Oryctolagus cuniculus: one gene and its partner. The protein of the gene in region 1 interacts with the protein of each later gene in a biochemical or structural test. Links are inferred from orthologs where the notes say so. Each region holds a gene or a part of one and is shown in the gene's direction. Other genes may lie near its edges.

What was found. The genes of interacting proteins can lie anywhere in the genome.
Region 2: the proteins of FERMT2 (region 1) and ILK form a complex in vitro, tested with the Homo sapiens proteins (2 studies listed by BioGRID). The link is inferred for Oryctolagus cuniculus from reciprocal best matches to the Homo sapiens genes FERMT2 and ILK.

Annotation. Positions count from the first base shown.
Region 1 is NC_091443.1:23,419,201-23,423,289, forward strand, and holds the start of FERMT2 (fermitin family homolog 2), read left to right. Parts: upstream 1-1,284; 5' UTR 1,285-1,577; intron 1,578-1,954; 5' UTR 1,955-1,963; coding exon 1,964-2,120; intron 2,121-4,089. UniProt on the Homo sapiens protein: Scaffolding protein that enhances integrin activation mediated by TLN1 and/or TLN2, but activates integrins only weakly by itself. Binds to membranes enriched in phosphoinositides.
Region 2 is NC_091432.1:60,282,951-60,286,639, reverse strand, and holds the end of ILK (integrin-linked protein kinase), read left to right. Parts: intron 1-380; coding exon 381-546; intron 547-715; coding exon 716-811; intron 812-1,011; coding exon 1,012-1,108; intron 1,109-1,188; coding exon 1,189-1,272; intron 1,273-1,377; coding exon 1,378-1,463; intron 1,464-1,603; coding exon 1,604-1,713; intron 1,714-1,820; coding exon 1,821-1,948; intron 1,949-2,036; coding exon 2,037-2,158; intron 2,159-2,248; coding exon 2,249-2,348; intron 2,349-2,460; coding exon 2,461-2,591; intron 2,592-2,767; coding exon 2,768-2,917; 3' UTR 2,918-3,176; downstream 3,177-3,689. Other genes in the region: TAF10 (transcription initiation factor TFIID subunit 10), read right to left, coding at 3,228-3,317, 3,499-3,613. UniProt on the Homo sapiens protein: Scaffold protein which mediates protein-protein interactions during a range of cellular events including focal adhesion assembly, cell adhesion and cell migration.

The DNA of each region.
Region 1 (4,089 bases):
ATCGCTTCCAAAGGAAGGATCTGGAACATCCTTCAGTAGAAATAACCGGGGAGTGCAGGGGCAGAGCCTGCAGGCATGTCTCTCCATGACGACGACGCTGTAACCCCACAGTGGTTCCCTCTACTTTTTGGTGACAAACCTCTGGCATCCGACTCAGCATCGCTGCGTTCACTCCTTTTTGGGTTCCAGTCCTTTCTCAAGGCTCTCACCTCCTGGCCCAGAGGTGTCGATGAACCAAAGTGTGTTTTGTTTTTGTCTGGCGGGTTTCCCTTCGAAGTGTTTGGAAAGCCATGAGGCTTTGCAAACCGGGAGCCTTCGTAGCGGATCTTACCCGAGGCTTCCTGACCTATATATTTTGAGCCGTGCACTGGCCAGCGAAGCGGTTTCCCTGGTTCGCTGTTTGTGCACAGAGTTCCCTCGGGATCGAGGTCGGCACAGGGGGCAGGGGGAGGCAGGGAGGCCGGAGGCCGGCGTTGCACCTTCCGTGCAGTCTTCCCTGGCCCTGCAGGAGCCACCGCAGGGCCTTCGCGGTGCGGTGCAGGACCCATCTTCGTAACAGGCGGCTGGTTCTCAAGCTGTCCAGATTCGCACCGGAGACTGGACAGGCCGGGGACACGCTTTGGCACCAAGGGTTTTCCCTGCCCTCAGCCCGAGCGAGGGGGCCCGCCCGCCACTCGCCCCGGGCTGCAGCTTCCCAATGGGTTAAGGCCTCGTGCAAACTCCCGGGGTCCCGTGGGAGTCGCTGACCGTGCCGGTCACCCATGGCACAGCGACGTTTGTGGCTCGCCTCCCCCACCCCGGGTTTTCTCCTCCTGTCGCGGCATGTTCGTGGAGCCGGCTTGGGCGCTCACTTTTTAAAGTTTTTACATCCCCAACTCGGCCCGCCGGCTCCAGGGAAGCGGCGCCCCTCACCGCCCCGGGACTCTGGGGCGCGTTCCAGGCCTGGGGAGGAAGCGGCAGGACTTTGTTCCCCGAAATCTGACGGCTCTGGGGATTCCCTGCGGCCACTTCGCCGCGCCGAGCCCCATCCTCCGGGCGGCCGCCGGCTCCCTCACGCCGCGGCCTCCGGCTGGCGGAGGAGCGGCCCGGACTCCCCCTCCTCAGGTCCCGCCGCCGAGAGCCCGGATGTTGGATTCCATCCCTGCGCCTGGTCCTTCATTTCCATAAAAGGGCAGCGCTCGGCGGGGCTGAGGTTGCCACCGCCGCCGCCGGCGCCCCCCGCCGCCCCCCGCCGCCCCGCCCCCAGCCCGGAGTCCGCGGCCCCCGCCCGGAGCGCAGCCGCGGGGAGGGCTGTGGAGGGGCCGAGGTCGGCCCCAGGCGCTCCGGGCCGCTCTGCGGGGCGGAGGAGGAGGAGGAGGAGGAGGAGGGAGCCGGCGAGCCCAGCCCGGACCGGACGGGCTGAGGGGGCGGGGAGAGAGGGGTGGAGCGCGCGGAGCCAGGCTGGGGGCCGCGGCGCCGGGACTCCATTAGCGGCTCCGGCCAGGAGGCAGAGCTGAGCCGGCTGCGGAGCGGGACGCGGACGCCGCCCCCGCGCCTGTTGCGGGCGAGCCCCGGGCCGGGTGCGCGAGGAGCGCGCGGTGAGGGGCCTGGACGGGGCTGCAATCTGCTGGGGAGCGCGGGTGGGGACGAAGACTGTGGAGCCCCCGGGCAGCGTCTCCCCGGGCCGGGCGCGGCCGGGCGCGGCCGGGCGGCAGGCAGGGGACGCCGCTGCGCTCCGCTAGGCGGGGGCGGCGTGGGGCGGGCGGGGCCGCGGCCGCTCGGGGCCGGGGCGGGAGCGCGGAGCGCCCAGTGCGGCTCCGCGGTGCTCCCGAGTTTGCGCGGGAGCCCCCCACCCCACCCCCAACACCGGGTCCTCCGGCTTCCCCAGCCCGGCGGCCGACGCCGCGAGCACGGTGGGCTTTGCCTTCGTTTGGGGGAGTGACGCTTACGAGAGCCATTTCCTCCGCGCGCGCAGGAAGGAGCCATGGCTCTGGACGGGATAAGGATGCCAGATGGCTGCTACGCGGACGGGACGTGGGAGCTGAGTGTGCATGTGACGGACCTGAACCGCGATGTCACCCTGAGAGTGACCGGAGAGGTGCACATCGGAGGGGTGATGCTGAAGTTGGTGGAAAAGCTGGGTGAGTAGCATCCCGGAGGCGTCCGGGAAGCGACTGGCGGGGTGGGGGAGGGGTGGGAGGGAGGCGGCGCGGGGGGGAGGGGCGGGTGTGGAAATCTTGGCGTCTCTTGGATACTTAAAAAAAAAAAAAAGTGAGATCTGTCAATATTTAAGCGAACCGACGCGGTTCCCTTGGCGTTTTGTTTGGCTAGCTCTGAATTTTCGGAATGTGGTGCTTGGAGCCCCTACTTAGAGACTTCATTGCGTAGTTGGGCTGGGGGCGGGGAGCTCCTTGATTCTTTGCATTCGCCGGCTTCACGTGGAAAGAAATGGGCAGGGTCTGCAGGGTGGCGGTGCGGGGCGTGTGGTTACCCATGTCTGGCGTGTTGGCGACGCTTGGCATCGGGAGTAACGCGAAATCCACGTTAGAAAGCCGCCCCCCACCCGGGGAGATAGGCGGGTGCTGGCGTCGCTGGGCAGTGGCGGTGGCCCGGCCGGCCGTGCGCCCCTGCGAGGGGTGGGCAGCGGCCGAGCGACTTGGAGTCCCCACCCGGTGCTCCAGCGCGGCTATTCGGAGCATTCGGTTTTACATTAACGAGCCAGTGGGAGAACCGTGTTCAGAAGCAGACGGGAAGGCTGCTTGGGGGTTGACAGTGTTCGCCCGAGTCCAGTCCCTACCGGGTGGCCCAGGTTGAAGGCAGGGTCTCTGACAGCATGAAACTGGAGGAGGTTTCCCAGTGCACGTTCTGTCTGCCATGAAGGAAACCGTTTTCCGCGGTAGCTAAACAGCTGGTGTTCAGAAGAGACTTCCCCAGTTTTCCATATCATGCACTTGTGGTCAGGTCTTTGTAGGTTGGGTTTTTCACTTTGAGGGTGTGTGTTTTTGTGTTTTTGGCTTTTTTTTTTTTTTCTAAACCACACTGCCAAAGTGGAGAAGCATTGATTAGGAAATGTGTTTCTTACCAAGGGAGCCTTGCGTCCCTACCATATAAACTTACTGCAGTAGCTCTCTGGGGCGCTGTGCCCAATACGGCAGGGTTCACAGGAGCACCCGCCTTGTGGCTTTGCAGAAGTTTCCTTATGCACAGACCCGAGAGAAGCACCTCACAAGGTTGCCTCTGTGCTGTTTACCTGCCTGAGACAGGGCCAGGACCTTCCCCCACCCCCAGCCCTTTGGCAGCTAGATTTTGCTGTATTGTTTGTTTAACCAGTCCGCTCTCTGTGGGTTAACAGTGTTTTTTGTATGATTTGAGTAAATCGATGACTCTTTGCAAAGTGTCCATGGATCAGTTCAGCACTGGTATGAGGGCTGAAATATCACCAAATATAATTGTCCGTGTGTCCTCTGTTTTCAAGGGAAAGAGCGTTTGTGTCAGAGCTTGCCTTGTTTGTGATAAGTGGACCTCACTAATAACGTGGGTTTCAATAGGCGGTTTCTTTCACGTTGCGTGGAAGGAGCTGTTGAAGGTGACTGAGGCAACCTGTAGTTCTCCAGAGCCAGGCTTTTTTTTTTTTTTTTTAATTTATTTTATTTATTTGAAAGGCAGAGTTACAGAGAGAGGGAGAGACAGACAGAGAGGTCTCCCATCCACTGGTTCACTCCCCAAATGGCTGCAACTGCCAGAGCTGGGCCAGGCCAGAGCCAGGAGCTTCATCCGGGTCCCTCATGTGGGTGCCAGGAGCTTCCTGGGTCTCCCATGTACGTGCAGGGGCCCAAGCACTTGGGCCATCTTCCACTGCTTTCCCAGGCACATTAGCAGGGAGCTGTATCGGAAGTAGAGCAGCCAGCACTTGAACTGCTTCCATAAGGGATGCTGGTTCTTCAGGCAGTGGCTTAACTTGCTGTGCTACAATGCAGGCCCAAAAGTCAGGCTTTAACTAATGAATAAATAATGGTCTTACTATATATGTATTGCATTGATTAGAATCGTCTATTACAGTCAGTCATAAATAGAACTATAGAGAATAAACTATTTGCCATCAGAATTGAT
Region 2 (3,689 bases), on another chromosome or scaffold:
CTGCTGTCAGTCCCTCAAGAAACTTACAGTCTAACAGGCAAGGCAGTTCCTTAACAGATTTTTACAATACTGTGTGGCAAGTGCTACAGTAGGAGGAGGTACAAGATGCAGCAAAAAACAGGACCAACAGACATTGCAAAAGGGATGCAGGAGAAACAATGAAATAGGGTCTGTCAGGGAAGAAACTGAGTCACTGGGTTATCTAATCTGGGTCATGGGTTGGGCATGAAGCTCAGGGCGAGGGCTGACCTGCACAGCTTTGGGAACTGAACGAGAACTGAAGTCCTTAAAAACGCCTTCCCAGAGAGTATAGGACTATTTTTTCATAAATAAAAGCCTTTGCCCCATCCAACCCAATTACCATTGCCCCTTTTTCAAAGGGATGATCATGGCTTCTCCCCTTTGCACTGGGCCTGCCGAGAGGGTCGCTCTGCTGTGGTTGAGATGCTCATCATGCGGGGCGCACGGATCAATGTGATGAACCGTGGAGATGATACCCCCCTGCACCTGGCTGCCAGCCATGGACACCGTGATATTGTACAGAAGGTATGTATGAACCCTCCATCACCCACATGATATACATGCCATATAAGGTCCACCACAGGCACTGGAATATACAGTAGAAAGTGTATACTCTTCTTCCTTTTCACACATCCTGATACGGAGAGCTCATTTAGACTGACTGTGCCTTTCTCTGTTTGGCCATGGGGCCCAGCTGTTGCAGTACAAAGCTGACATCAATGCAGTGAATGAGCATGGGAATGTGCCCCTGCACTATGCCTGCTTTTGGGGCCAAGACCAAGTGGCAGAGGTGAGTCCTTGGATTGGTGAGAAGCAACCTCTGATCCTGAGTGGAATACTCTGGAACCCTTAACCTGTCAGCACTACTGTGTGATAATTTATGGGGTTGTACACAGCATGTGTGTTTGTGTGTGTGTGTGTGGGGGGGGGTTGGCTGGGACTGCTAGGGAAATAGCAGGGGTCCTCATTACAACTATCTTTTCATTCCAGGATCTGGTTGCTAACGGGGCCCTTGTCAGCATCTGTAACAAGTATGGAGAGATGCCTGTGGACAAAGCGAAGGCACCCCTAAGAGAGCTTCTCCGAGGTCCAGCTCCCACCCGCAGCGTCTGTCATCCTGTCCGTCCCTACCACAGCTCAGGCTAAGACTGGTTTTTTTCCCCCCAGAGCGGGCAGAGAAGATGGGCCAGAATCTGAACCGTATTCCATACAAGGACACATTTTGGAAGGGGACCACCCGCACTCGGCCCCGTGAGTCACTGTTTGGAGGAGGAGGGGTGTAAGGGAGAATTACCATGGGTTCCTCGGGCTGGGTCAGGGTTGATGCTGGATATCTGACCTGTCCCTAATTCTCAGGAAATGGGACTCTGAACAAGCACTCTGGCATTGACTTCAAACAGCTCAACTTTCTGGCGAAGCTCAACGAGAATCATTCAGGAGAGGTGACCTCTGCCTTTCTTGCCCTTTTCTCTTTAATTGCACTCAAGTTACCTGCTTTACACCTGTTGTAAGTTTCCCTCCAGTTAGTGGGCAAAGACGTGCAGCCTTAATTAAAGCCTCCTAATCCCTACCTGTCCTTCAGTTGTGGAAGGGCCGCTGGCAGGGCAATGACATCGTGGTGAAGGTGCTGAAGGTTCGAGACTGGAGTACAAGGAAGAGCAGAGACTTCAATGAGGAGTGTCCTCGGCTCAGGTGGGGCAAGGCCTAAACTGCAAGCTACTGGTTCCAAAGAACCTTCAATAGCACTGAGGGGGATGACTTCTATACTAGCTCTCAGCCACACTCTCTCCCTCTCCCAGGATTTTCTCGCATCCAAATGTTCTCCCAGTGCTAGGAGCCTGCCAGTCTCCACCTGCTCCTCACCCAACCCTCATTACGCACTGGATGCCATATGGATCCCTCTACAATGTACTACATGAAGGCACCAGTGAGTAGGGATGCTGAGTTTCACTGGGATAGGGATGAGGAATGGTACATGAGCCTCTCCAAGTGATTTGACTCTTGTCTCTTCTTAGATTTTGTCGTGGACCAGAGCCAAGCTGTGAAGTTTGCTTTGGACATGGCAAGGGGCATGGCATTCCTACACACACTAGAGCCCCTCATCCCACGACATGCACTCAATAGCCGTAGTGTAATGGTGAGGCCACAAGTTCACTCCTGGCCCAGGCCCAATAGCCCTTTGCCTACCTAGAATAGGACTCACCTTCCACATACCTATCTTCTCCAGATTGATGAGGACATGACTGCCCGGATCAGCATGGCCGATGTCAAGTTCTCTTTCCAATGCCCTGGACGCATGTATGCACCTGCCTGGGTAGCCCCTGAAGGTGGGTGAGGGCATTGCATTGGGAGGTAGAGAATGACCAGCTGAGTAGCAGTGGAAGAAGGCAGAGACAGGACAGGCTAGGCAGCTGGAACAAATAAGCCCTATCTCTCCAGCTTTGCAGAAGAAGCCTGAAGACACAAACAGACGCTCAGCAGACATGTGGAGTTTTGCAGTGCTTCTGTGGGAACTGGTGACAAGAGAGGTACCTTTTGCTGACCTCTCCAATATGGAGATTGGAATGAAGGTGAGAGCAGATGTGCATACCCTTCTGTTGGGGCAGAAAAGATGGGTGTGGTGACAATAATTGTAGCTCTACCCACAGTTGTTCAGATACATAATCCTGTCCCAAGGGTCAGAGGTCTCTTCCTGTATGACACACTCAAATTCTGAAGCTCATCTTAATTTTCCTTGTATTCGCAGGTGGCACTGGAAGGCCTTCGGCCCACCATCCCACCAGGTATTTCCCCCCATGTGTGCAAGCTCATGAAGATCTGCATGAATGAAGACCCTGCTAAGCGACCCAAATTTGACATGATTGTGCCTATCCTGGAGAAGATGCAGGACAAATAGAACTGCAAGGTCCTTGCTGAAACTCCAAGGTGTCAGGACATGGTTGGGGGAGTGTAACTCCCCAAAGCAGTAGGCCTCTGGTTGCCTCCCCTGCCTCCAGTCATGGTACTACCCCAGCCATGGGGCCCATCCTCTGCCCCCATCCCTACCACTGTGGCCCCAAAAGGGGCTGGGCTCAGAGCTTTGTCACTTGCCACACGGTGTCTCCCAGAATGGGAGGGATCAGCCCCGCCTGTCACAATAAAGTTTATTACGAAAACAGGCTGGTGTGGGGACATGGGGATAGAGAAGTACATTTAGGTTGCGTGGCTCAGGTGAAGTAGTGCGGCTTCTTCACATTGATGCCATACTCGCTGAGGGCAGGGGTCAAGTCCTCCATGGTTAGAGTGTACTTGCGGTCCTGAGGGAAGAGGGAAGAGTACCAGCTGAGCACAGGAATCCGAGATTGAAGTCCCAGGTGGGTGATCCTGAGTAGCCTTACACCTCCCCTGGGACTTAGTTTCCCCACAGGGCTCTCAGGATAAGTTAAGCCTCCGCTGCTGTGGAGGGTAATTACTGGTTAAGTGAGCCTCCCCTCACACCTTGCTCTTGCTCCGGGAGCTGCCAGAGGCTGTGCCCTTCATTTTGCAGTGCTGTAGGGCATCGTTGGCAATATCTGAGATGAATTTCTGGGCAGCTAGGGAGATGAGCCGAATTCTAGAGAGAAAAAACTGGTATGAGAAGGAGGTGGACAACAACCTGCAGAAGCACTCAAAGCTCTAGCCTACCCTGG